Tamandua tetradactyla: one gene and its partners. The protein of the gene in region 4 purifies or fractionates together with the protein of the main gene of each other region. This does not show direct contact. Links are inferred from orthologs where the notes say so. Each region holds a gene or a part of one and is shown on either strand. Other genes may lie near its edges. The genes, in order: EPC2, histone H2B type 1-A, KAT2B and TRRAP.

Region 1 (6,834 bases), on a different chromosome or scaffold from region 4:
CGGTGCCTGCCCATGTAAAAAAAATAATAAAAAAAAATAATAAATTTACATAATCTAACTTAGACCAAGTGCCATAAGCATCAATTCAGAAACCAAATTATAGGAAGATGCCAACTGGCAAACCTTCGAAAATAAGGAAAGGGAAGAAAAGCAGTAAAAGATACCTGCATGTCTGAAAGAAAAAATGAACTAACAGAATACCACTACCAATGCCAAAGAACACCTAGATTACCTTCCTGAGGCATATCAGAAAGTAACTCAAAAAGCAAGTCAATGACTATATAAACAAAGATGATAGTTCAATGGCTGCACAGAGGAGAAGACTTAATTTTATTGGGGAGTAGGGTGGAGGAACAGAAGCCATCCACGAAGTCAAAGGGCAGGATTTTGCAAAGTCAAGCAAGATAGTGGTCACACTGTGGAGAAATTAGTAAATAGGAAAAACTTTAGTAAAGTTTATTAGTAAATACATAAGCCAAGATTTAAAAAAAAAAAAAAACAGTTCCATGTGATTTTTAAGAATACTTATAAAAGTAACTGGATCACACAGATGCTGAAAGTTCAGTTGAACATACAATTCAAGTGAAACACAAAAATTTGTGAAATTCAAAATACTTTACTGCTGCTGCTTAGAACTGTTTATCAAGGTATAGCATTTTGTTTTAAAGTGAACAAATCTCCTTAATAAAGAAGTTCTGTAAATAAGACTAAGAAATGAATTGACATTAAAAACTAACATGTAATTTAAAAAACTAACACTCCAATTAAACATTCTGGGAAGCAAAAGACTTTTATACTATAAATCTTAATGTCTGGCTTTGTTTGGAAGTTTAAGAACTTCCACTAGTGACTTTAAAGAGGCAGAGAGGACAAAACAAAGAGTCATAGGTCCTGGGTTTCAATTCTATCAGAATTTGGATTTCTTCTTCCTCAAAAACTGAGGCATGCAGCAGCAAACTGAAGTAAACTGAACAATTCTGAAGAGATCCAACTTTGGCAGTCATGCCCTAGACTGCAATTCACAAGTTTTACTGAAAAAGATAATAGCACAGAATCGTAACAGGTGCTAAGAACTTATTTATGACCAACATAAAAAAAAAATAATTGAACTGCAGATTTTCCTTCTAAATTCAGATAAAATACCAAGATACACCGAAAAAATAAAGACCAGGTATATTGTTAATTATTGTTTGCAAAAAGTAATCTTCCAGGAGTTAACTGTTCATTCTAGAACAGGTTTCTTGACTCAAATTCTTCCCAACTAATTTCAAGAAACTAAAGAAAGTACTGATACTAAACTCATAACCCACCTTTCTTTTTGGTTCAAAATATATTAATAGAAATTTAGCTTTGTGAAATCCAAACCTGTCTTTTTTAAAACGTTATTAATGAAAACTCAGTTATGTGAACCATCCTGCATGGAAAACTGAGCTAAGCTGGAAACAAATTTAATTTAAAAAAAAAATTCACATAGCATTCAGCTCAAAGCCTTAGGCAGAAATGTTGGGATTTTTATTTTATATATTTAAACAATACTGAGTGTTCACCCTTATACTACAGCTTTATTCATTTTTATTGAAAAGGTTAAGTCTCTCAAGTAATCAAACACTAAAGAGAAATGCGATTAAATCACAGCAGAAAGTAGTAATAACAGGGTAACATAATGAGGTCAGAACTCCAGCAGCCAATCAAAGACATAAAAGCATTTCCTGCAATATTAATAGTCAAAAGAGAAAACCAATCACGGAGACCTTGAGCCTTCTTTTGACAGTCACAGAATCAAGAGAACCAATCCACACACACCCGGGGTTGACAATAAGGCGGGACCGTAAGTTCATTGAAGAAATTCTTGAGGATGCAGCTACTATGAACTTCGCACGCAAGTAACACCACTCGAGAGTCGTAAACACTCTCGTCAAGCCAGATGAAATTCATCCATATGCAAAATTCAACCCATAAGGGTAGGACAAAGCAGCATTTCTGCATTTCATCAAACACACATCTGTCAATTTAGAAGTACTAGGTCCTCAACTTCTGAAAAACTACCCTCCGCTGACAATTCCGAGACCGAACACCGGCACAGCGCAGCGCGGGCGGCCGCTCGGAAACGTCTTAGTTCATTTCTAACGCTGCGGCCGTCCCGGCGAGGTTAACAGAGCCGCGGCCAAGGTACGAGCCCGTCGCGCCGCTCCAACGCTACATCCCGCTCCGGAGTCGTTGCCCCCGCCCTCCCAGCCGCAATGCTGCACCACCTCATCCCGCTGCACCAGCTCGGGCAGAGGGGAAGAGGAGTGAGGATTACCTTGCTGAGAGGAAAATATTTGTTTTAAAAGCGCCTTACGTTCCATACGTCATTTTAAAAAGAACCCAATGCAAAACCAAATTTAAAAATGGGAAGTGAACACATATTTCTGAACCAAAGGATCCCTCACCCATTAACCCCGCGCCAGAGGCAGGGGAAAGAAAGGTAAACAGAGGCCTACGCCAAGTGCGGCCGGCGCATCCCCTGCGCCATTCCCGGTCGCCGCTTACGACAAGGCCCCCTTACGACAGCGTAAGCGGCGCTGCGAGCTAATCACAACACTGGGACGCAACAACATGGCGGCCGCGGGCGGGCGCTGCGCCGGCAGAGAGAGTTTACGCTACTCCGCCGGCGTAGGATCCCATGCGTTGGAGCGGCAGCGGCGCCCTCCAGCGAGCGTAAAGCGCTCTGTGAATGGCGAGGCCCGACTGACAAAGGGGAGGGGGGAGGAGAGAAGGGGGGGTAATAAACACTCGAGTCCCTACCGATTCCTCCTCCTTCTCCATCCCGGTGGGCATCTGGGGCACAGCCCGGTTGATGGAGACGCAGTCGTTGAGATCAGGCATATCCTTGCCGCGGTAGATGGGCAGCGGTTTGGCGGCGTCCAGCGCCCGCGCTCGGAAGGAGAGTTTACTCATTGTCTCCCCGCCTTACAGGAACAGCCCGGGCGGCGGCGTCGGGGCGGGCGGGGAGGGGGGGAGGACTCCCGCCTCCTCCTCCACCTCCTTCCTCAGTGCAGAGCGGCCGGCCCGCTCCTCCTCCTCCTCCTCACTGCCCCCGGCCACAGCATGGGCGCCCACCCCGCCCGAAAACAGCCCCCCGCCGCCCGCGGCCGCTTCCACACACTAGATCCGTCGCTCGCCCGCCCGATCCGCTCCCTGCGCCATGGCCAACATGGCGGACATTACCACAGCGGCGGCGAGCGATCCCGGCAGCCCGCGCGAGAGCGCGCCCCCGTCGCAGGAACGCGCCTCGTCCTCTCCCTCCCTTCCTCCCTCCTTCCTCTCCCTTCCCCTCCCTCGCCTGCCCACCCACTCTCTCCGCGGTGCTGCCGGCCCGCGGGAGCTTGCTCAGTCTCGGGCCGCTCAGGGGAGAGGGGGCGGCGGCGACCCTCGGCTCGCTAGCCTGCGCTCTCGCGGTGTGGCAGGTGCCAGGTGCGCAAGTTATCCCGCCCGGCAGAGCGTGCGCCTCTTCCTCCGCGGCCCGGTCACCCGGCTCTCTGGACGCCCCGAAGGAAGGCTCCGGCAAAATCCGGCGGTGCCGAGCAGTGTGTGTGTGTGTGTGTGCGCGCGCGCGCGTGTGTGTGTGTGTGTGTGTGTGTGAGAGCGGGAATGGAACATGCTGATCAGGGCTACGACAGCTACCACCCGAAGTTGTGCGTATAAAGCGCTTATTTCCAAAACGCCCGAGCGCAGGCTAATTCGCATCCTCCAAGTCGCACGTCCCCTGGAAGTGTGAAAAGACCTTTCAATCTGCCCAATCGGAGGGGAGCAGACCTCCCCTCCACACACCCCCCACCACCCCCAAACGCTCGTCCTGTCCTAGTCCTCTTCGTCGCATACTCTCTTTAATACCTGACCGAAAGAGCTCTCTAAGGTAAGGCATCCTTGCTCATCCTCGCCTTCACTGGGAGTATGGATGCTAATGGCAGCAGTGAGAGTTAGTGGTTTCAGGCTGCTGGGTGCAACAAGTGTACCGGTCTTCCAAACTTCAGTATATTTTTAGGATGGTAGATATATCTCTGATTTCGGGCCGGGTTGAGGCGGAGATTTTTTTTTAACGTTAAACTTAGAAAATTTGACCAAGGCAGTAGGCATTTTTGAAGTGGTAGATCTGTGTAAAATATTGGGTGCTGTGAAAGACGCAAAGAAGTTTGATATTAAATTCCTTCCCACGATGATCTTTCACTTTAACGGACAGTTAGAAAGATGAACAACATTAAAAGAAAGAGTTGAAGAACCGGGCAGCTGGAAAGATAAATGACAGCAAAAGATGTAAATACTTGAAAACACCATACCAGAGGTGACATGAGGCAGTAGCACATGATTACTAAACGAGTTGTACGAGCAATAATTGCGAGTTCAGAGCAGGGAGACATTACTTTTAGCCTGAGCTGATCAGAGAAAGGTCTAAGGAGAAAGGAAAATCAAGGTGAGTCTTAAATAAATAGGAGCTCTTGCTGAAGTAATCTGGTTTAGTTTCTTGGTTTGACTTAAGCATTACAGATTTCTCACAAAATCCCTAGGAAGAGGGTAATGCATCTTAACATTTCGTAATACATGATAAATATTCTGTCTAACTCAAAGAAAGGTAGATGGTTTGCTTAAATCCAGCAGTGAAAGAAAAAAAAAGATGCCTACAGTCATTTCCATTTGATGCCAAAACTATATCTTTTCCTCTATTACCTTCTTTTCCCCTCCTTTTTTCTTTCTCTTCCTCCTTCTCTTCCCCCTTTCACGCCCTCTTCTCTCCTCAAGGCAGAATAGTAGATATGGAGTTCATGGTTATGTCTAAACAGTCTAACCAGTTTGGCCCAGCAAGACTCTGGGGCTTAGCTGTTTTCCATCCATTTTGTTGTTGGAAACAATGGAGTTGCTGTGACTCATTTCTTCTTGTAAGCTTTACCTTCCTTAAGCTTATGCACATGTCCCTTACTGGACTGCTGCACTCTGAAGGAGTTCCAGTCCTCTGCAAGGAAGACATTGTTGGGAGAGGGTCAGCACTGGGTTCAAGCCTGAAAGAGAGAAAAGTTAAGGTGATAGTTGAAGAAATAAATGAGTCATCCAGGACTTCTATTTAAATTTCCAGCACTTCTCAGAAAGTATAGTTTTCTTCTGTTCCCTATATTTATTGTTACTCCTTCTCAAGAAAGAAAATATTGAGTTTCTGTAGTATCCTAGATATTATAATGGATAGATGTATTCGCTCAAGTAATTGAATTCCACTTAATTCTCATAAGTCTGTGAAGAAGTGTAATTTTACCAGCAAGAAAGCTGAGATCCAGACTAGATTCAAATCCAAGTCTAGCTTTACTCCAAAACTCATGTGTTCTTAATAGTCCTACACAGCTAGCCAAGCTCTTCTGTTTATTGACCATTCAGTATTCCAAAGTTGTTGATCCAGATTACTGAGCCCTTCCTACCAATGGGTTATAAATTGTATAATCAAGAACCTAAAGATGTAATAGCCCCAGGAAGGGCAAGAACACTGTCTGCTCTGTCAATCACATCTGAACATAGAGCAGGCATCTAACGTACGTTGTTGACTGATATTCCACCAGGAAATTCAGTGAAACTGACCCCATTCCACCCCATCTCAGACAGAGTTCAGGTACCTTACTGGGCTGTCACCTGACCTAACCACTGCTGCCAATATTTGCTCTTAGGACCTACCCTGCTCTCCAGCTTCCTACCTTTGGGTATAGGAATTTTTGAACCAATTAAGGAAATTCAAATAAACTTTTTTTAAATCTGAAATTCAATAATAGGGACAGGTTTTTGCTAAGGTAGTTGTTGCTTTACTTTTGTTCTTTTGCTTTGACCATGTAATCGGTTTCTTCCCCAAAGCTCCATTTCCTTTTTGCCTCGTAGGCAATGATTATAGAGCGGGAATAAAACAGTTTGAGTCAAATAACACAATACGCTTTTCAAGTGAGACACAGCCTGTGTTTTCTTGGCTTCCAGTTCAGTGCTCAAACCAGAATGTACCTCTGTTTCACATTTGGAAAGTAGCTTTTATTTGTATATAAATATTATTTCTCATAAAATAAAGTTTATTTCTAATCTATTTGTTGAATACCCATATAGTTCTTAGTGCTGCAAACAGAAAATATCTTTTTCAACTTCTAAAGTAGACCTTATAAAATGTCTTTATCGAAGTCTATTTAAAATGGTTGTGCAGTTTAATAGCCTATTTTAATTTCAGTGTACAATGCACTGAGTACAGACCTTCACATAGTCTACTTCAGATATGCTCTAGACCAATTCCAAACGGCATGCATTTAGCCCAGCAAGTGTAATCTATATAAACACCCCAAAATTAGAACCAGTTATAAACCATATCAAAAATAAAACCATTGCCTAAATGTGGTCTAAAATTAGAATAAATGTCAAGTAACTATAAGAATTGAGATTATATTCCACTTTCTATTTCCCAGTACTGCTATCAGGGCAGGCAACTTCCAAATAATGAACAAATTACTTTTTTAAAAGAACCTTAAAACTAGTAAACACAGTTACCATTCAACTATCTCAGAGTTTCTTAAATGTCATGTCTTTTCTAATTGGCTCCCTGTTTTAGCAAACCCAATTGAAAGTTAATTGGGTTGGTATGTGAACTGCCTTCCCCACTCCTCCCCCTCATTCCCAAGAAGGAGCCCAAAACCAATAAACAAATAAAGCTGTGTTGTTTTCCATATGTAGTCTGAATGTGGAGTTTGCGTTCTTTGCAATCAATTGAAATCACTCCCCTGGTTCTAGTGCCCTTTACCGAGGCAGCTCTGAATCTTTGTGTTGTGGGGAAAGACAGTGCAC
Region 2 (5,495 bases), on a different chromosome or scaffold from region 4:
TTATAAATCTCTAGTCTGTAGGTAGTTAGGCTCACCTACATGAGCTTTTTCATGCACCACAGCAAACACAGCGGGGAAACACTTAAGCAGCTTTAGAGCTCCCACACCCAACTTCCCAAACGGCCTAAGGTCTTTTCAGACCCAGAACCTTCATTGTTCTGTGGTAGAAAGATGTGACAAACTCTGCCAGCAACATTCATCTCTCTTGATCTAGAGGTACAGCATTTACAAAAGCAGACTAAGTTTTTATAGATCTCCCATTCTCAAAAATGCTGCAAATACATGAGCATTTTTCTTCCTAAACTTCACTTAATTTTAATAGTCCATAAAACAATCGGTATGCTCACCTTCAATTACATTAAATAGCTTAAACTGAAGGTTAACCTGCTGTTTGCCTATCAGCAAAAAACCTTCGTGCCTTGTGAAATCTTCTTAAGGGACATATCATAAGGATCAGCCCTGACCCCTGTTAGCACATAAGCCACTTAGTGCAAGTCCACAACTCTTCCCTGGAGTCTATAAGTGGCTCTGAAAAGAGCCTTTGGGTGAACGCTTAGTTGGTGGCTAGACCACTTCACTTGGAGCTGGTGTACTTAGTAACGGCCTTGGTGCCCTCTGACACAGCGTGTTTGGCAAGCTCCCCGGGTAGCAGCAGGCGCACAGCCGTCTGGATCTCCCTAGAAGTGATAGTTGAGCGCTTGTTATAGTGCGCCAAGCGCGACGCCTCGCCCGCAATGCGTTCGAAGATATCGGTTACAAAAGAGTTCATGATGCTCATAGCCTTTGATGAGATGCCGGTGTCTGGGTGAACCTGTTTCAATACCTTATAGATGTAAATAGAATAGCTCTCCTTCCGGCACTTCTTGCGTTTTTTCCCTTCTTTCTTCTGAGTCTTGATCACAGCTTTTTTGAACCCTTTCTTGGAGATAATAGTGCCTTTTGAAGACACCTCAGGCATGGCTGCTACACCGCTCACCTTCACCATGTACAAAGCGAACGGCGTTAACCAGCGCGAAGAGTGGTATTTATAGGCCCAGCACTCACATGACGTCTTGCACATCTAACATCTGATTGGACAATGCATAGAGGTGTGTATGTAAATAAGGTGACTCCAGTAAGGCTCTGTGATTGGATAGGCGGCTAACAGCCAATCAGATAGCAAATCACAGCCTACCGTTAGACTATAAATAGGCCCCATTGCCAGCCGTTAAGGTTAACGTAACCGCATCTCTTCTTATGCTAGTGGTTGCATGTTAAAGTCATGTCTGGGAGAGGAAAGCAGGGTGGCAAGGCGCGTGCTAAAGCGAAGTCTCGGTCGTCCAGGGCAGGTCTACAGTTCCCTGTGGGTCGAGTGCATCGTCTGCTTCGCAGAGGGAACTACGCAGAGCGCATTGGAGCTGGCGCCCCGGTGTACCTGGCAGCGGTGCTGGAGTACCTGACGGCCGAGATCCTGGAACTGGCAGGCAACGCGGCCCGCGACAACAAGAAGACCCGCATTATCCCGCGCCACCTGCAGCTGGCTATCCGCAATGATGAGGAGCTCAACAAGTTGTTGGGTGGTGTGACTATCGCGCAGGGCGGTGTCCTGCCCAACATCCAGGCTGTGCTGCTGCCCAAGAAGACCGAGAGCCATCATCATAAAGTCCAGTGTAAGTAACGTCCCTCAAGTTGTAAAGTTCATTGAGTGAGCTGAGTCTCAGAAATTTAAACCAACGGCTCTTTTCAGAGCCACCTACAGTTTCAGCAAAAGAGTTTGGGGCAGATTACAAAAAATAAATGTGACAATGAATGGGTAAATCGGAAATAACCTAATTTTGTAAACCAATAGGTCTGAAGAGATTGGTGAATGAGGCTGTTCACTTTTTAAAGACCTAACAGCATTGACCACAGAGGCAAAACTCGCAGAACCTCTGACTTTGGGGAAAATGTCATTATCGATGGAGCTGTTTTAGCAGTGAATAGAGCAGCGACCCTAGGTAGCTAGCTCCAAGCAGTGGGAAGGCCATCATTTTAAGGCAGTTTTGACCTTGGGAGAAGGGTCACACAGGATCGTGACAATCAGCAGTTACCAAGAAAACATGTGAAGATGTGAAAGTCTTTTTTTATGGCTGCATTTCAAAGAGTACAGTTAAATAATGATGATTGGGTTATAAATCAGTGCAGGAAACTTGTAAACTCTCAGCTTTCAGCTCAACTCATTTGAGAGCACGTCTGTGGACATGAATCAAGCAGCAAAGAAGTCACAACATATCTCTAGGCTACATGAGTTCTCTTGTGCCTTCTAACAAGGGATTTCATTCTAGGTTCTGGGATGGTTCAATACCTTGAAATTTGTCAGTGTGACATATTAGTAAGCCACAAGACAAAATACACATACAAATATTTGATATGTATTTTTCCTATGAAAAACGATAGAAATGAATAGTACATTTAGGGTATATTGCAAACAAAAATGATACCACTTTGATATTCAATTAGTAGTGTCAAATTAGAGTTGGTAATGTGACAAATTGCTATCTTCATTCAGCAATAAATTCTTCAATAGGTCTACCACCACTACATGAGGCAAAATAGTACTGTTGGTCATTTCACACTGCACATGAGTAAAAACCCATACAACCAATGGAAAAATCATAAAGCAGCCACATCCAAGATTACAGAAATAAAAACACCAACAAATTGGTGACAGGATAAATGGTGTAAGTGAAATTCTCCAAACACAAAGCAAAGACAAAACTCTGTACAATTATAACGACCACAGACATTCAAAAAGTAAAAAATTACTTTTTCTTACAATACTTGTATTGATGAAATTATACTCAAACCTATGAAGTTGAATAAATAAAAGAGCTACTGTTGAAAACAATTATGAACCCAAATCTTGGGAACCTTGCTTAGCAAGAAAAACAAAATTAACCTAAGAAAGTACTCAAAAATCACAAGGTCGCAGTTCATAAAAATCCATGTAACCTATTTGGAGATACTGATGAAATGTAAGAGTTTTGAAAAACTATAAACTGCTTAAATTGAACCTAGAAAGCAGTGAGGACTAAGGGAGATGGAAAACAAAAATTGAAGTCATTAATGAGTTACCATTCTCGGAGACCAGACTTCCAAGGGTGTTTCATGTTAACATCTTTAAGAAAAAGATGAATGTGCAGCTAATGAAATGGTTTCAATTATGAAAAAAAAGACCATATTTGCTAGGAAAATGTAATTTAATAAAACCTAATGAAGAGAGCATGCTGAGAAGTATAGCACAGTCTCAGTTATAAATAAGAAGCCACAAATCTTCTGTTAAATATGAGCAATCAACTCTGCAGTCTATTAAAAAAAACAGTGACAATTTGGATCCACCTAAGAATGTAAGTTTTGTTTGAACGCTGAACAAAATGCAAAGAATTCACATTATAGAGGGAAAAAAAAGGCATTTTTCTATTATGTTTAGTTGAATAACCTTCATTTCTTAGTGGAATAATAGTATACTTATCATTAGAAGACTTTTCTCATTACTAGTATTTAATATTATTCTGGAGTATTAGACAAATTTTTGAAAAAGATATTAAAATGATTCTGCCTCAGAAGGAGAATACCAACAACAAAATCATGTGCAAGTACCTTCTGCAGGGTAATGCCCCACAATTACTTTACACATTAGGAAATAATTATATTGGAAACTCAAAGGTTCTTTTCAAAGCCATCCATCCACGTTTTCAGAGAAAGAGCTGTGGTCAACTTCCAAAGTATGGCAATTTATTATATCACTTATATTCTCTGTAATACTGATTGTAGCTAATTCAAAATTATGGTGTTACTCTATCATCCTTGGGTATTGCAAATTATAGTACATGATAAGGCATTTTAAGAAAATAAAATAGGACTTTTGGTGGGTGATGTCTTTTGTTACTTCATAAGTTCAGAAAGCCACGTAGTAGTCCTTCAGTAAAAGGACTTCAATATTGCACTTAAATCACACTGTGGAAAAGGTAGAATCCAGGAGAATAAAGACAAATGAAATTGGCATGGAGAAAGGACAAATAAGGCTTGATGTTGAAACCCAGAAGGGGAATGAGGAGATCGGATTATTATCTAAGTGAGTGAATGAGAGGTAGAGGGGTTAAGGGAGCAATCGTGCTCAAAGGCAGAAAGGAAATGTTCTGCTGACACATTATAAACAATAAAATTAAAATACGCAAACTGCAGAACTGAGTTTTCAAATTAAAAAAAATTTTTTTACTATACATTAATTCACATATTAAGAAATAGGTTTCATACAACTCAGGTAACACTCAGAAATACACGTGCACACCAAGAGCTAAAATAAAAGTTTTCAGAAACATTACCATACGATGGGGGAGGGATTCTGAAATTACAAATCTAAATGATTCCATTTTATCCCGTTCGTTTGTGTCCTATTCCAGTTTACAAACAGTCCACGACTTGCTGTTTGGAATAGCAATGGGATGTTGGAAATGGCCAATCAGAGTAGCTCACACTGCACACTGTTTTGGCCAGTGAAATCAATCGCCCCCTATAGATCACAACGATTGGCCCAAAGAGAGAGACCGACACCAGAGCTGAGCCAATACGAATACTTCCTGGATGTTCAACCCTGGAGATTGAAGGGAAGTAGTTAGAGTGGTGCTCCCTGCTGTTGGAGCAAATTGAGAAAATGAAAATAAACTATAAATAGTGAATTTTATCACTATTAAAAGAAGTTGGGGGAGGGAAGAATGTCTGTGTATCTCAGACTCTAATCTCTGAGGATTCTTTCAGCCTCAGCAACTTCTTTTTTTACAGAGCATATTTAGGAATACTGCCCCCTCCCAATTTCCTTAATCTGTTTCATTGATGATTTTCTTTCCTGTGCTAGGAAATTTGACAATTCATGCTACAACTTTCAATTTGCCACACTGAGCACCCCTTACCCCACATAATGGTAAATTAATTTTGCTTAGTGTTTAATCCCGGCCCCTTATCACATCGCTCTTTTCAATGAAATTAAATAGCCCTTTTCTTAATTATGGCTGGGAAATTCGTATACCCAGCCAGAAAATATGATAAAGTTTTACCTCAAAACTTCCTGATGATTGGAGGGGGGAAAATCTCACATTCTGTGCTCAGAACTACCAAAGGAAAATAAAGGTGAAAATGGTTTTCCTTATTTTAGATGCACAAAGTAGTTGCAAAAACAGAGTTCTGCATTTTCTCCCAAAGATATCTTACGTAAACATAGTACAAGTATCAAAACCAAGATATAGACATTGTTACAATACTATTAATTATAGTCCTAATTCAGATTTCACCAGCTTTTTTTTTTTTTTACATGGGCAGGCACCAGGAATCAAACCCGAGTCCTCTGGCCTGGCAGGCAAGCATTCTTGCTTGCTGAGCCACTGTGGCCCGCCCAAATTTCACCAGTTCTTGATGGCTGTTTGTTGTGTGTGTGTAATTTTATGAAATCGTATCATACTTATAGATTTGCAGCACATATG
Region 3 (7,124 bases), on a different chromosome or scaffold from region 4:
AACATAGAGCTAACATATGACCCAGCAATTTCACTGCTAGGTATATACCCAAAAGAAGTGGAAAATATGTCTACACGAAAACTTGCACACACATTTTCATAACAGCATTATTCATAACAGCCAAAATTGGAAACAACCCAAATGTTCATCAAGTGGTGAATGGATAAACAAAATGTGTTATATCCATAAAATGGAATATTATTCCATCATAAAAATTATTGAAGTTTGGGGCATGTTTTAATATAGATTTAGACCTTGAAAACATTATATTAAGTGAATGTAGTCAATCACAAAAGAGCACATATTGTATGCATCCATGAAAATGAAATGTCTTGAATAGATGACTCTATAGTCAGAAATTAAATTAGTGGTTGCCAGGGGATGGGGAGAGGGGAGAATTTTTTTTTTTTTTGGCAGGGGAAGGTGATGAAAATATTCTAAAATCAATTGTGATGATTGTATAGTTCAGTGAATATACTAAAAATTATTGATTTGTACAACTTAAAAGGGTGAACTTTATGGTATGCCAATTTCATCTCAGTAAAGCTGTTATATATTTTAAAACAACAACAACCAAAAAAACTGGGGCAAAAAACCTGAATTAGGTTGTAGATGAGGTTCATTCCTGCATCTTTCTCTACTGTTTTGCCTTTCCTGCTTGGCCCGCTCTCCTTCCCCACAACTACTTTTAAGAATTTGCTGTGCATCTTTCTAGATTGTTCTCTTGCTTTTACATTTTATGTGCATTTATTGAACAGATGCTGAACTTGCTCATATGTTAATGAGAGTTTGTCTTTAGCACAAACAGAATTACACTGTGCTGGAGTTAATTCAGTGTTTCTTGGAGCTCTGTGTACGTTATTGCGTTTAAATAAAGGTCATTTTGTAACAGCTGTATAATATTCCATAGGGTGACTATACTACAAATAACCTTCAGTAGTCAGCTTGCTCCCTACAATTCCGTTCCCCAAGTCCATGTTATTTTCTAATTGTGATGTTCTTACCACATTTAGTTTCTATGTATTTTAAAGGCTAAAATACTGTCTTTTCTTTTTCCTTGGTACCCACTTCCTAACAGAGTGCTCTGCCCACAGGAGGAGCTTACTAAATGCTCACAACAGCTTGATTATGAAGGGGCAACAAACCTGTTGAATTCTTTGCCCTTGAAACTTCCCTGCCTTGTACACAGAGCACACTTTCACATAAGGCCTCGAAACCGTGAGACTTCAGTTTAAGACAGTATATCTGCATGCTCTCAGCAGGGATATAATGAGAAATAACGTTCAGTTGATGTCACAAGCTATTCGCTATTCAGACAGTGGTCGTTTTGATAGTAAATTGCTCTGAGTTTGGAAATAATATGCTTCCTGAATTCTGGGGGTGGCTTGAGAGGGGAAGGTAATGGATGGTGAGTTAATATTAAAGGTGGAACCCGTTACGCCCCTATGCTTAATGAAAATGTTCAAACATAGAGGAAAGTTGACATAATTGTATAGCAAACACTCATACACCAACCACCTAGATTCTATCAGTAACTTTTTGCTACTTTTGCTTACTTCTGTCCATCTCCCCATTGGTAGATGCATCAATTCATTTTAATTTTTGATGCATCTCAAAGCTCATTTGTTATCTCAAAGACATCAGGATATTGCACCCCTAAACTTTCAGCATAAATATTATTAACTAGAGTTTTTATGATTAAAATCAAATTTTGGAGGTAACATTTACATCCAGTGGAACGTACCATTCCATAAGTTTTACAGATGTCTACACAGCGTAATCGAAACTTCAATCAAGATATTTCTCAGCATATTAGTTTTCTAGGGCAGGTGTAACAAAATGCCACAAACTATATATGTAAAAACAGCAGAAATTTATTGTCTGAAATGAAGGTGTCAGCAGGACATGTTCCCTTGGAAACCTGGAGTGGAGCATTTTTCCTTGCCTCTGGCATCTGGTGGTTTGCTGCTGGCAATCTTTGGCATTCCATGGCTTGCACCAGCAGCACTTCAATCTCTGCTTCTGTGGGCACATGGTGTTTTCCCCTGTATCTGTCTGTTCCTGTGTCCGAATTTCCTTCTTCTTATTGGGCACCAGCCATATTGGTTCAAAGCCCACCCTAACCTAGGGTGGCCTCATCTTAGGTAATCAAGTCTTCAAAGACTATTTCCAAATCAGGAGGTAGGGGTTAGAACCTGAGCATATCTTTAGGTGGGACACAATTCAATTCATAATACTTCATTCATTCATTCATTCTTGGGAATTCTGACAGATCTGCTAATATCATGGGAGTTTGACCCGGAATCACAGCTTTTAAGACTCCCATCCTGCTTTGGTGAGTAAGAATGGGAAAAAAAACCCCAAATCTGCAAAACACCCCAGCAAAGCCACAAGAGAGTAACAGTGGTAAAGTGAAGCACATCAAACCAAGAAAGGAGGAATTGAACTAACTCTCCTGATGGAACCTGATAAGTCGGCCATTTCAGACCTTTACACTGGGCTCAAGTTGGGAGAGGATATTTCCTTTGGTCCTTTCTGACACCACTTTATGTGTCTATACTTCTTCGTAGTTCCACTTTTATATATCACTCTGTATTAAAAGTTGAAGGAATATGGGAAATCTGGGTAAATGACAGAGAAAATTAACTGGGATGGGGAAGGGAACATTTCCCGGCGAAATCTGTTTCTTAAGAGGTCTCTGGCCTTCTGCGGGATTGGGTGAGAGCTAGAAGGCACGCGAAGAATCTGATTATAAGCACATCATGTCCCAAGTTGTACATCATAACATTTGTCCTCCAAAATTAGGGCACTAGTGAAGGGCGCTGAGAAGTAGTGCTTGACTTTTAAGAACTGCTTTTGAGAGGCCGACCGGGCATAAATTTGAAACGCAAAACTGAAATGTTCGCTCCACATTCCTAAACACCACCCTCACAGCCATCAGCGCAAAAACAGTTGAAAACGCCGAGTCAGTTAAAAAAAAAAAAGTTCCAGGCCAAAATAAACACTCATCTTGGATGCTGCGTAAATTTTTTTTTCTCGGTTACTAGGCATGCCGGTGATATCACATTTGAAACTGTGGAAAATTTTTAAAAAGAAAAGAGCAAGGGGTTATAACCCCGACATGCAAAGGTAAGCCCTGATAACGTTTTTAAAACTTTGATTCAAACTTCTCCTCCTGCCCATGTTTTTAATTTTGACAGTGTTTTTTAGGCAATCGTTCTTTTAACAGCCAGCATTAAAAAAAAAAATTACAGAAAATAATTGCTCGGCAATCTTTTCCCTCCTCTGGCGGGTTTCACCCAGAAACTACAAGAAAGCCTTTTTAATTACTTTTTTTTTCTTTTGATAGAAACGTGTTTAAAAAAGATTAGCAGATACCATCACGTCTTTATTTTTGGTGAATTAGCAACAAAGAAAAGGATTAGCATGGACGGGTACTTTTCAAAAATAATTTTTTTTTTCCCTCTGGCTCCCGCTAGGGTGGAGGAAGTTGTCTCGGCTCCGAGAGAGGGTAGAGAGAGTGGAAGGACAAATGACTGGGACGCCCCCTTCTCCCGCTCCAGGCTCGGAAACGCGGGGGTCGCCTGGGGAGCTGCGAAGAGGGAGGCAGCCAGCAGGTGCCTGGGCTCCAGCCCCCTACACCCCTCCTCAACCCCACGCCCGCCCCCACCCCGAGCTTGGCCTCGCCTCCAGGCGGGCGAGCGCTATAGGTGTCGAGGCGTGGGGGTGGGGGGCGCAAACCCCGCGGGGAGCAGAAAAGAGACCCAAGGGGTCCTCCCGGCACCGGCACACAACGAGAGTTTCGCATCCCCCTCACCCTGCTGGCACACAGCCCCAGCCCTCCACACGGGGAGCACGTCCGAGGCCAGCGAGCCGAGCAGAGCCCCGGGGAGGAGAGCCGGGGGAGGGCGTGTGCAGTGGCAGCAGCAGCGGCGGCAGCGGAGCCGCTAGTCCCCTCCCTCCTGGGGGAGCAGCTGCCGCCGCCGCCGCCGCCGCCACCACCGTCAGCGCGCGGGCCGAGGCCGGAGCGAGCCGGGCAAGCGGCGCGCGCGCGGGGGAGGGCGGGGGCGGGGAGGGGGGTGGGAGAAGGGGGCGGGAGGGCGTGGGGGGAGGGTCTCGCTCTCCCGGCGACCAGAGCCCGAGAGGGAGACCCTGGCGGCGGCGGCGCCTGACGCTCGGCGCCTCCTGCCGTGCTCCTGGGCGGCATGTCCGAGGCTGGCGGGGCCGGACCGGGCGGCGGCGGGGCAGGAGCCGGGGCAGGGGCCGGGGCAGGGGCCGGGCCCGGGGCCCTGCCCCCGCAGCCCCCCGCGCCGCCGCAGGGCTCTCCGTGTGCCGCCGCCGCCGGGGGCTCGGGCGCCTGCGGACCGGCGACGGCAGTGGCGGCGGCGGGCACGGCCGAAGGACCAGGAGGCGGCGGCTCGGCCCGGATCGCTGTGAAGAAGGCGCAGCTGCGCTCTGCTCCACGGGCCAAAAAACTGGAGAAACTCGGAGTCTACTCCGCCTGCAAGGTACCAGCTCGCCGCTCGCGGACCGCGGCTGGGGGCGAAGGGCCCAGCTCTGTGGGGCCCCCGCCCTCTCCCCCTCCCCCTCCCCTCCGCCCCCGCCTCCCGCCTACCGCCTGGGGCCGCTGCACCGCGGAAGTGCTGCTGCCGCCCGCGCCCAGTTAGCTCCTTTTCGGATAAGAGTCCCGTTGGGTTGGAAGAAGGGGAATCACCAAGTCGGAGAACCCGTTCCCCACTCCCTACCCCCTCCTCGGATAGAATACCCTTTGCATTCGCGCTCCGGGGCTGCCCTGGGGCTTCGCTGCTCTATAGGAGCTCGCCGGAGGCGTCTGCTAGGGAGTGGAGCCCTGTTCACGGTGTGGCAGGACGCCCCAGGGTCAGGAAAACATCTCTGGGATCTGAGTGACTCGCTTGCGCCCGGTGCCCCACTGGGAGGGGTTGGGTGCAAAGAGTGAGGGTGGAAAAGACTCTCGGATTCCTTGCTCTGAGAGAGAGAGAGAGAGAGAGAGAGAGAAGGGGCAGGACGCGCAGGGTGGGGAGGTGGACACTGCCCGAGGCGAGGGTCCCTGGAGCGCCTGGAGCCCTCGGCTGGGGGCGGAGGTACTGCAGCGCGCCGTGACAACCTTGTCATTATTGTATTATTACTTATTTAGTTAAAACGCTGTCCTAACTGCTCGGGGTGTAAATAGGACTTGACAAGGTGACAGCCCAGCACTGTGGGCACTGCTACTCAGTTTGAGGATACACGTTTCTTTCCATCCTGTTCTCCATCCCAGCTATCGGTGGCCCCTGGGCCCTCAGCTGAAGACCCAGATGTAGGTGCTGCGCGCCTAGGGTGGGAGGATTGCCCAAGGCCGAGGGGCAGGCTGGCCCTGCACTGTCAGCAGAGGCTTTGTTTTGACAGGGTGACAGCTGAGGGGGGCGGAGACTTGGCCTTGTCAGCCTCTGCGGCCTGTGGCTGAGGCGGGGAAGACTCTTGCACACACTCAATCACCTCCCGTGCACGTATTCTTCCCGTCTGCTTGTAAACAGGGTCAAGTTCCCAGATTTCAGATGGCCACAAGAACTCTGCAGTGACCGCTTCTGAGTTTTGGTGTAAAGGTTATCAATACTGCTAGAATTCCTGGACTGTCTTGGTCCTGCTGTTTTTAGTATTTCCAGGAGTTTCTCCACCTCAATGGAATGACTGTGCTTGCCCTTTTCCCAGACCATTCATCTCTTTGTGTATATATTGAGCATTTGCTGTGAACCTTACACAGGTTCAATAAATATTTGTTGAATGAATGTAGGATCCAGTGCAGTGCTTCTCAAACTTTAATGTACATAGGAATCTCCTGAGAATCTATTAAAATACTGATTCTGAATCAGCTGAGATTCTGCATTTCTAACGAACTCCTATGTGATCCTTTACTGGTCCACAGACCACACTGCAAGTGGAAAAGACCCAGGTTCAGCCTTGACAATGTATCTTAGTCGTTTATAATTCAGCTGAGAAAATTAAAACTATGAAATAGTAATGTGACATGATATTTCTGAAGAAGAAATGTGAAAATGTTAAAGTAGGGAACATCCTTCTAAAAAGGAGAAAGGCTAGGAGTTGGTTATAAAGGGCATTAGACCAATCAGAGTGAGACCTTCAGTGTAGTAGGCAGAATGGAGTGTTGTGCACAGAATCTAGAATAAGTTCAATTACTTGGTGAATTTGTGTTTTGCATTGTCTCATGTAGGGACTGTGTCAAGCTCTGTGTTTCTGTTCTGGTTTTGTATTGGGTTCCCATCTTGAACACCACTTCTCCCCACTGCCTGCTGTCACCTTATTATCTAACAATTCCCTGAAATTTTGAGTTCTTTCTAAAACCATGGGCATATGTGCCCTGCATTGATATTTTTGATCGATCCAAATTTTCACGCATGAGATGTAACCTAAAGGTTGTGGTTTGAGTATTTCGTGTTCCCACTCACCTCTACCACACTTACAAGAAGAAAAAACATCTACAATTCTCCTTAAAACCTTAAAGGCTTCTTGTCCTGCTCCTGGAAAACTCTGAAAGCTTCAACTTTTATTTGCCCATTTATTCAATAAATATTTAGAGAGGTCCCACTGGGTGCCAGATACTATGCTAGAAGCTAGACTGTGATACTCAGAGTCTGTCCTTCTTGAGGTACTGGTCACTCATGTGTGCAAGTGTGTGTTGGAGGTGGACTGTAAAGCAATTACAATAAAGTTCAGAAAAACTGTTTTACAAAATTGATGAGGGAAGCCAGAGCTGGGCAGTTCACGAGATAGAGCCTGAAGAGGATGGAGATGGCTTAGAGAAAGTGCCAGTGGGTGCTAAGGACACTTGGCTGCTCAGGGTAGTAAGGTAGCGTGAAGCTTCTTGTAATGGAGCAACCGAAAACAGTTCTGAAAGGTAGAAAACAGTTCTGAAAGGTAGGCGCTGGGTCAGCAGGAGCTAGCACTCCATTGACCTGGCTGCGAGGGTGGGAAGTTATGGTCATGAGGGCACTGAGGAATGGGGAGAGTGGCATCATCAAATTTGCTTTCTTTTCTTTTTTTTAATACTGGGCTTGGTTGGGTGTGAGTTGGTTTGAGACATCAGAACCTATGGTTCTTTTCTCAGC
Region 4 (7,455 bases):
GAAAAACAGCGGCAAAAGGAAAGTACATATATGTGGATATTTATAACAGAAAATAAAAAATATAAAGTATGTACCTCAAAATTTTCACTAACTTCTTGCATCATCTTTAACTTCGTTTCATCAGCTGTAAATGTCAAAACAAATCATTAGTAACTGAAATTAAGTTAAGGATGTTCCTAAAATTACTTAAGTTTTATAATTTAAGAGAAACAATCAGATCTTATCAGTTTGACCATCACAGCCCAACAGAAGGCACATAACTAGTTGCCTACAGTCAGTCACATACACTCGTACACCAGACACATGCCCAGATGAGCATACAAATACATACACACACATGCACGCACAAACACACGTGCCTCTTTGGGGCTCCAGCCAGTTAAGCTCATCACTTTGCTTCTCCACAAGACCTAAAGAAAGTGTAAATTAGGATATTATTTATTTCAGTGTGCACATCATTTGAACTGAGGACGAATAAATGCATTTCCTACGTGACGAAAAGCATCAACTCACGTGTATTTACATCAGTGAGAGCTGCCACAAACTGAAGATATTTTTTCATCAGAGTGGTTTGGTCAACCACCGTGGCCCCTTGTGTTGCAACAAACGCCATTTTTCTTTTGTGCTAGTCTGTTTCTTAAGAGAATGGTTTTAGGTCCATGAGTTCATACCAGCCTATGAAAAGAAGCATTTAGTTAGCCAACTTATCAAGGCACAGGTTCAGAATCTGTGAAAAGCTGATCTAAATGCCTATGCTCATCTAAATTATTTTTGTGTTAATCAAGGATATGACACTATTTCCTCTGTTTTTTTTAAATAAAATTTATCTAGATCCATTTTGTCTACTAAATGTATCTAAACATAATGTTTAAACACATTTGTTTTTTCTCCCCTACCCTCGTCTTTCTTACCCTAAGCCAGAGGTTAGCAAACTGTTTTTGTAAAGAACCAGATAGAAAATATCTTAGGCTTTGCAGCCATGAAGTTTCTGTTGCAACAACTCAGCTCTGCTGTTATAGCCAGAAAGCAGCTACAGACAACAGCATGTAAACAAATGTGCGACTATGTTCCAGTAAGACTTTATTTATACATGCTAAATTTGAATTTCATAATTTTCATGTATCCTGAAACATCATTATGCTTTGGATTTTTTTCTTAGCCATTTAATATCGTAAAAGCCATTCCTTAGTTCAAGGACAGTATGAAAACAAGAGTATAAAAACAGAGATCGGGCTGGAGTTGGCCTGCTGACGAGTTTGCCAACCCCTATCCTAGGCAATCTGGTTCTCAAACTTCAGTGTGCATTAAAACCAACAGGTGACAAAGGTGGATTCCCAAGCACCACCCAGAGAGGCTGTGTGCCCCAGTGAAGGGTACAGGAAGCTGTAAATTTTTGTTTGCAGCTGTCACAGATTAGGCACTCAATTGAAAAAAAAAACCGAACTCTTCGAATGAATGAATAAAAAATGCTTCAAAAAAATGAATAGAAAACAGACTGTTGACACCACTTTGAAAATCGCTGCTCCCAGGTGGACACACCTGAATGAATGAGATTTGTTTTTTATTTTAAGAGCTGTGGCCAAAATGTCTAGAGAACCTGGTGAAATTGTTCTTTCACCCATCCTCCCTGCATATATAAATGCCTGATTTTACTTTGCATTAAGAGGTGGTTTCACAGCTTAGCTTTCGTCTTTCTTCAACAGACAGAACAATAATGTGTCTGCAGGAGGACATGCTCCCCTGCAGTTCAAACCAAAGAGTCCCTTCTGGTCATTTCTCAGACAAAAGAGGACCGCCGGTAGCTGTCCTAGCATTTGTCCACTATCTCAGGACAAGAAGAGTCACTAACGAAACTAAGACCAGGATTCTGTCAGCCCTGCTGAGGGTCCTGGCAATTGCTTGCCTCTTTCAAGTCACAATCTCTCCTCCAATTACCTAAGACATCCCCCTCCCCCACCGGCATCTCCACAACGAGAGTCCCAAACCTCAGAGTCAAGGCCTCTTCCTGCCTAAGAAACCCCCTGCTCCTGCCCAGGCCTGCCCAAACTCGTCCAAGCCTCGGAGCCCGTTTTCAAGTCCTCGCCGGCCCGCAGAGTTCAGAGGCGTCAAGTCTTCCACTCCTCGGGGTGCCGCGACGCGAGGTCCCGCCTTCCGCTGGGCCCCAGGAGTCTGAGGAGAGGAGACCGCCCATGCCAACTCTCTCCCAGAGCAGCTCCAGGACTCCGGAGTCCGAGGGGCCGGGCCTCGGTTCCGCCCAGCCCCCGCGCCAGGCCCAGGTCAGAAGCCAGGGGGCGGCGTCGCGCCCGGGTAACCCGTCGCCCGCACCCTGCAGACCCCCAAAGCCCGCCCGGCCGCGCCGAGCCTGAGGCGGCGCCGCCGGGCCAGAGGGGGCGCTGTGGTAGCCGCTACCTTCGCTCTCCACACCGGATCCGGAGAGTCAGGTACCTGCGTGGAGGCCGGGTTGGGGGGGAGCGCCAGGCTGGCCCGGAGAGGGGGCGCCGTCGGGGGAGGGGGCCCTTGTCCCTCGCCCGCTTCCTCCGGTCCCAAACGGCCCTCCGGTTCCCTCCTTTTGTCACCGTCTCCCCGCCGCCACTCCACCCCGACACTCGGCGACCGCCTCCCAGGCCGTGCTACGGCGAGCGCAGAGGGCCAATTTCCGCGCCCGCTAGCCCTCCGCATCCGCTTCGCCCCATCTGGGCCCGGCAGCGAGCGGAGGTTTCAAGGCTGCCGCTATGCCCCGCCGTCCGGACCGGGCTCCGAGGGAAGGCCGGGGGAGCCCGGGGCGGTCGGAGCCTCCTTCTATCCCTTCCCGGAGCTGCCGTGCCGCGGAAACCTCCCCACTCCTGGGCCGGCCCCGTGAAGCCGCCGCGCGCACTTCCTGGGGCCGATTATCCGTCCCCGCTGAGGGCGCTCGCCCTCACCTCGACCTCGGCCGCCGGCCTCCTGCAGCCCCGGGCCCGCGACCCCCAGCTAAGCCAGCCGGGCCGCCGCCGTCGCCGCTCCGCCGCGCGCAGTCCCGCCCCCGCTTAAAGCAGCAGCACCCGCCGACTGGGAACTAGGTCCCGCCGCCCCCGCCCCTAAGTGGGTGCGGCCTGGGCGGGAGTGGGGAGGGGCATCCACGGCCAGGGTGGGCACGGGTGGGCCCGCCCTGGTCTTTAAAGCCCTGTTTGCAGAGGGTGGGGTTGCCGACTCGGCTGCCCCCCGAGGCAACTGCCGAGTTTCCCTGGGCAGCTCCCGCCCCTTAGTCTCTCCGCAGGACCCGTGCCGGGGGAAGAGAGGGAGGCTCGGGGGCTGCTGCTGGGCGGGAGGCACCTGAGGGGCTCCCTGTGCAGGCGGCGGTCGGGCCCAGGTCGGGAAGCGTGGCGGGCAAGGCTGGGGTTTTACCCCCGGGCTTCCTTTCTGTGACCCTGGGCTCCTCCTTCGACCGCCAGAGGGAGAGGAGGGTCTTTGGGAAGGCTTAGGCTGGAGACCACCCGAGACTTCGCATGTCTAGGAAAGCCCCGGAGTTCTGCCCGGAGGTGGCCGACTCTGGCCCGCCTTCTGCCCGCGGGCAGATGCCGAGGCCTCCCGCTGCGCTCCACGGAGGGCAAAACCCGGAGGAGTCAAAGCTTCCGGCCAGGCCAAAACTACGTGGAGGCCCTGGGGGCAGTGAGGCAGAACAACTTGATGCCCAGGCAAGGGCACTCAAAATACAAACTTCTTAAAGGTTCGTGAGTTTTCCTGCCTTGAGCCCCAAAGCTGGGTATCAGGACGTGGGCGTGCCGTCGTGCCTCACCTACATGTTCCATCCATGGGAGTGGGCCTGGTCATGGATGGTTACCATGTCAGAGGGACAAAGCCAGAAAGTGATCACCTTAACTCCAGTACCTCCAAGACCTCGCTCCACCTCCTGCCCCATCCTCTAACCCCTATCCTCACACCCACCAAAATCTTCAGCTTCCCGAATAGATACAGTTTGCCCATTGCAATAAATAGAGCTTGCAATACCTGCTGATTTCCTAGAAGTTGCCCTGTTCTGGAACATGCCCCTTTCTTGTTTAATGTTGCCACACAAGAGGAGCTTCAGCTGGAGTGTTGGGATTGTTTTTAGCATCAATTAATCGTCTGCCCTAGGAAAAGTAAAAGGAGTCAGCACACCCCTACCGCCGTGGAAGAAGTTCCCTGTTTGTGAGCAAAATCTTCTATGCCTCATTCCCCACCAAAAAAGTCTGAAGTCTGAAGTTGGGGATTGTTGAAAATCTGAGGACCAAAATCGGTGTGCTACTTCATTTTGCTAGGAGAGCAGACGTAAAACAAAACAAAAACTGCAATAGGCAAAATCTTTGCTTAAGTTTTGAGTTAATTGCACATGATAAAAACACAAATTAAGCCTAGCTTAGAGCAAGCAGGCACCCTGGCTTTGGTGAAGGCCCTACACTTCTTATGACCTGAGCGTCTATCCAAGTACTTGCCACACTGTTTTGATTTTTATTTGTTTATTTTTAATTGTAAAATATATATACATTAACATAAAACTCATTTTAACCATTTTAAGTGGACAGTTCTTTGACATAAGTACGATGCAAATACTGCTTTCACCATTATCTATTTCCAGACAATATTTCCATCATCCTAAACCAAAATTCATATTTGTTTCACAATAACTCCCCATTCCCCTCTTCCACCACCCTGGTAACCACTATTCTGCTCTCTGTCTCTATAACTTGCTTCTAATATTTCATAAGGAGAAAGCATATAATATTTATCCTTTTGTGTCTGACTTATTTCACTCCACACAATGTCTTCAAGATTCATACATGATGTAGCATGTCCCAGCACTTCACTTCTTTTTACGGTTGAATAATATTCCGTTGTATGGATAGACCACATTTTGTTTATTCATTCATATGTTGATGGACACTTGGGTTGCTATGAACAGTGCTTCAGGGAACTTTGGGTGTACAATGATCTGTTCAAGCCCCTGCATTCAATTCTTTGGGGTACACACCTAGAGTGGAATTATAGGGTCATGTGATACTTCTATGTTTAATTTTCTGAGAAACTGCCTATTCTAGTTTGCTAGCTGTTGGAATGCAATATACCAGAAACGGAATGGCTTTTCCAAAGGGGGAATTTAATGAGTTGCTAGGTTACAGTTCCAAAGCCAAGAAAATGTCCCAATTAAAACAGGTCTATAGATATGTCCAATCAAAGGCCAAGGGAACCAAGGGAAAGATACCTTGGTTCAAGAAGGCTGATGAAGTTCAGAGTTTCTCAAGTGAGAAGGCACATGGCGAATACAGTCAGGGCTTCTCTCTCAGCTGGAAGGGCACATGGTGAACATGGCGTCGTCATCTGCTAGTTTTCTCTCCTGGCTTCTGGTTTCATGAAGTTCCCCGGGAGGCGTTTTCCTTCTTCATCTCCAGAGGTTGCTGGCTCGTGGACTCTCTGCACCTCATGACTACATTGTTCTGCTCTCTCCGAATCTCTCATTCTCCAAAATGTTTCCTCTTTTATAGGACTCCAATAAACCAATCAAGACCCACCCAAATGGGTGGAGACATGTCCCTTAATCCAGTTTAACAACCACTCTTGACTAAATCACATCATCCAGGGAGATGATCTGATTACAGTTTCAAACATACTTTGAATAGAAATTATTCTACCTTTATGAAATGATATTTTGATTAAAACATGGCTTTCCTAGGGGGTATACTTCCTTTCAAACCAGCACACTGCCAAACTCTTTTCCACAGTGGCTGCACCACTTTACATTGCCACCAATAATGTACAGGGTTTCTCTTTCTCTGCATCCTTGCCAGCATTTGTTTTTTTAATTCCTTCATTTTTTAAAATTATAGCCATACTAGTGGCTATAATTATAGTTTTTGTGTGTTAGTTTTTTAGAAAAAGAAATAAAAAGACAACAGAAAAAGAAATAAAACGATAACAGAAAAAAAAGATTATACATACCATACCCCTTACCCCTCCCTTTCATTTATCACTAGCATTTCAAACTAAATTTATTTTAACATTTGTTCCCCCTATTATTTATTTTTATTCTATATGTTCTACTCGTCTGTTGATATGGTAGATAAAAGGAGCATCAGACACAAGGTTTTCACATTCACAGAGTCTCATTGTGAAAGCTATATCATTGTTCAATCATCATCAAGAAACATGGCTACTGGAACACAGCTCAACATTTACAGGCAGTTCCCTCCAGCCTCTCCACTACATCTTGAACAACAAGGTGATATCTACTTAATGCGTTACAGTTTTTAATTGGCATTTCTCTATTGACTAATGATATTGAGTATCTTTTCATAATCTTTTTGGCCATTTCAATGTCATATTTGGAGAAATGTCTGTTCAAATCCTTGGCCCATTTTTTAATTGGGTTATCGCTTTGTTGTTGAGTTGTAGCTGTTTTTATATATTCTGAATATTAATCCCTTATCAGGTATGTGGTTTCCAAGTATTTTCTCCCATCCCATAGATTGTCTTTTCACTTTCTTGCTAATGCCCTTTGATGCACAAAAGTTTTTTTAATTTTGATGAAGTCCCATTTTATCTATTTTTGTTGTTGCTTGTGCTTTTGGTTAAAAATCTAAAAATCTATTGCCTACTACAAGGTCCTGAAGATATTTCCCTATGTTTTCCTCTGTGTATTGTATAGTATTCTTATATTTAGGTCTTTGATCCATTTTGAATTAATTTTTATAAATGGTGAGAGATAGGGGTCCATATTCATTCTTTTGCATGAGCATTTCCAGCTGTCCCATCACTGCTCAATGAAGGGCCTGTTCTTTGCCCCATTGAATGGACTTGGCACCCTTGTCAAAAATCAACTGGCCATAAATGTGTGGATTTAACTCTGAACTCTTGATTCTATTCCATTGGTCTATAAATCTATTCTTATGCCAGTACCACACTGTTTTAATTACCATAACTTTGTAGTAAGTTTTGAAATGAGGAAATGTGTGAGTCCTCTAACTTTGTTCTTTTTCAAGATTGTCTTGGCTATTCAGGGCCTCAGAGATTGGACTTTCTGGAGGCTGGACCTGCAAAGAGGTCCCCACCCCACCCCCACTGTGATAAATGAACAAACTGGCATCTTATCCTCCCTCTAGGTTTCTTGTGAGCTTGGACAGGGTGACCCAGTGTCCCGATGTCTGACAATTCCAGCTGCCTTGATACAGTCAACAAAGGGAGCACTTTGAACTCAGTTTTGCCCACTCCAAGCTTTTTGGGGATCACTGTTATCTACCCAGTGGTCCCCACCTCCCTTAGTTACATTGCTGTACAGAACAATGAGGATTTGTTAGGACTATGGACTCCAGGGCTGCAGACTTTCCCTTAGCAGAGGGAGAATCAGATATACTACCCTTGCTGGCACCAGCAAGCAGGCTTTAGAAAGGTTTTCAGCAACTACAGTTGACACCAAGGAACCATGAACCTTCTGTGACCTGGAAA

What was found.
Region 1: the proteins of TRRAP (region 4) and EPC2 purify together in Homo sapiens (affinity purification with mass spectrometry; 3 studies listed by BioGRID and IntAct, with this or other methods). This does not show direct contact. The link is inferred for Tamandua tetradactyla from reciprocal best matches to the Homo sapiens genes TRRAP and EPC2.
Region 2: the proteins of TRRAP (region 4) and histone H2B type 1-A purify together in Homo sapiens (affinity purification with mass spectrometry; 3 studies listed by BioGRID and IntAct, counting the BioPlex papers as one, with this or other methods). This does not show direct contact. The link is inferred for Tamandua tetradactyla from reciprocal best matches to the Homo sapiens genes TRRAP and H2BC1.
Region 3: the proteins of TRRAP (region 4) and KAT2B purify together in Homo sapiens (affinity purification with mass spectrometry; 5 studies listed by BioGRID and IntAct, with this or other methods). This does not show direct contact. The link is inferred for Tamandua tetradactyla from reciprocal best matches to the Homo sapiens genes TRRAP and KAT2B.

The regions. Positions count from the first base shown.
Region 1 is NC_135329.1:118,547,791-118,554,624, reverse strand, and holds the start of EPC2 (enhancer of polycomb homolog 2), read right to left. Parts: upstream 3,015-6,834; 5' UTR 2,941-3,014; coding exon 2,788-2,940; intron 1-2,787. UniProt on the Homo sapiens protein: May play a role in transcription or DNA repair.
Region 2 is NC_135351.1:28,934,995-28,940,489, forward strand, and holds histone H2B type 1-A, read right to left. Parts: upstream 1,013-5,495; 5' UTR 986-1,012; coding exon 575-985; 3' UTR 517-574; downstream 1-516. Other genes in the region: histone H2A type 1-A, read left to right, coding at 1,262-1,657. UniProt on the Homo sapiens protein: Variant histone specifically required to direct the transformation of dissociating nucleosomes to protamine in male germ cells.
Region 3 is NC_135341.1:68,209,422-68,216,545, reverse strand, and holds the start of KAT2B (histone acetyltransferase KAT2B), read left to right. Parts: upstream 1-4,111; 5' UTR 4,112-4,205; coding exon 4,206-4,508; intron 4,509-7,124. UniProt on the Homo sapiens protein: Functions as a histone acetyltransferase (HAT) to promote transcriptional activation. Has significant histone acetyltransferase activity with core histones (H3 and H4), and also with nucleosome core particles.
Region 4 is NC_135349.1:6,908,183-6,915,637, reverse strand, and holds the start of TRRAP (transformation/transcription domain-associated protein), read right to left. Parts: upstream 3,021-7,455; 5' UTR 2,922-3,020; intron 2,633-2,921; exon of another isoform or gene 2,410-2,632; intron 2,271-2,409; exon of another isoform or gene 1,986-2,270; intron 1,953-1,985; exon of another isoform or gene 676-1,952; 5' UTR 614-675; coding exon 514-613; intron 404-513; exon of another isoform or gene 207-403; intron 125-206; coding exon 75-124; intron 1-74. UniProt on the Homo sapiens protein: Adapter protein, which is found in various multiprotein chromatin complexes with histone acetyltransferase activity (HAT), which gives a specific tag for epigenetic transcription activation.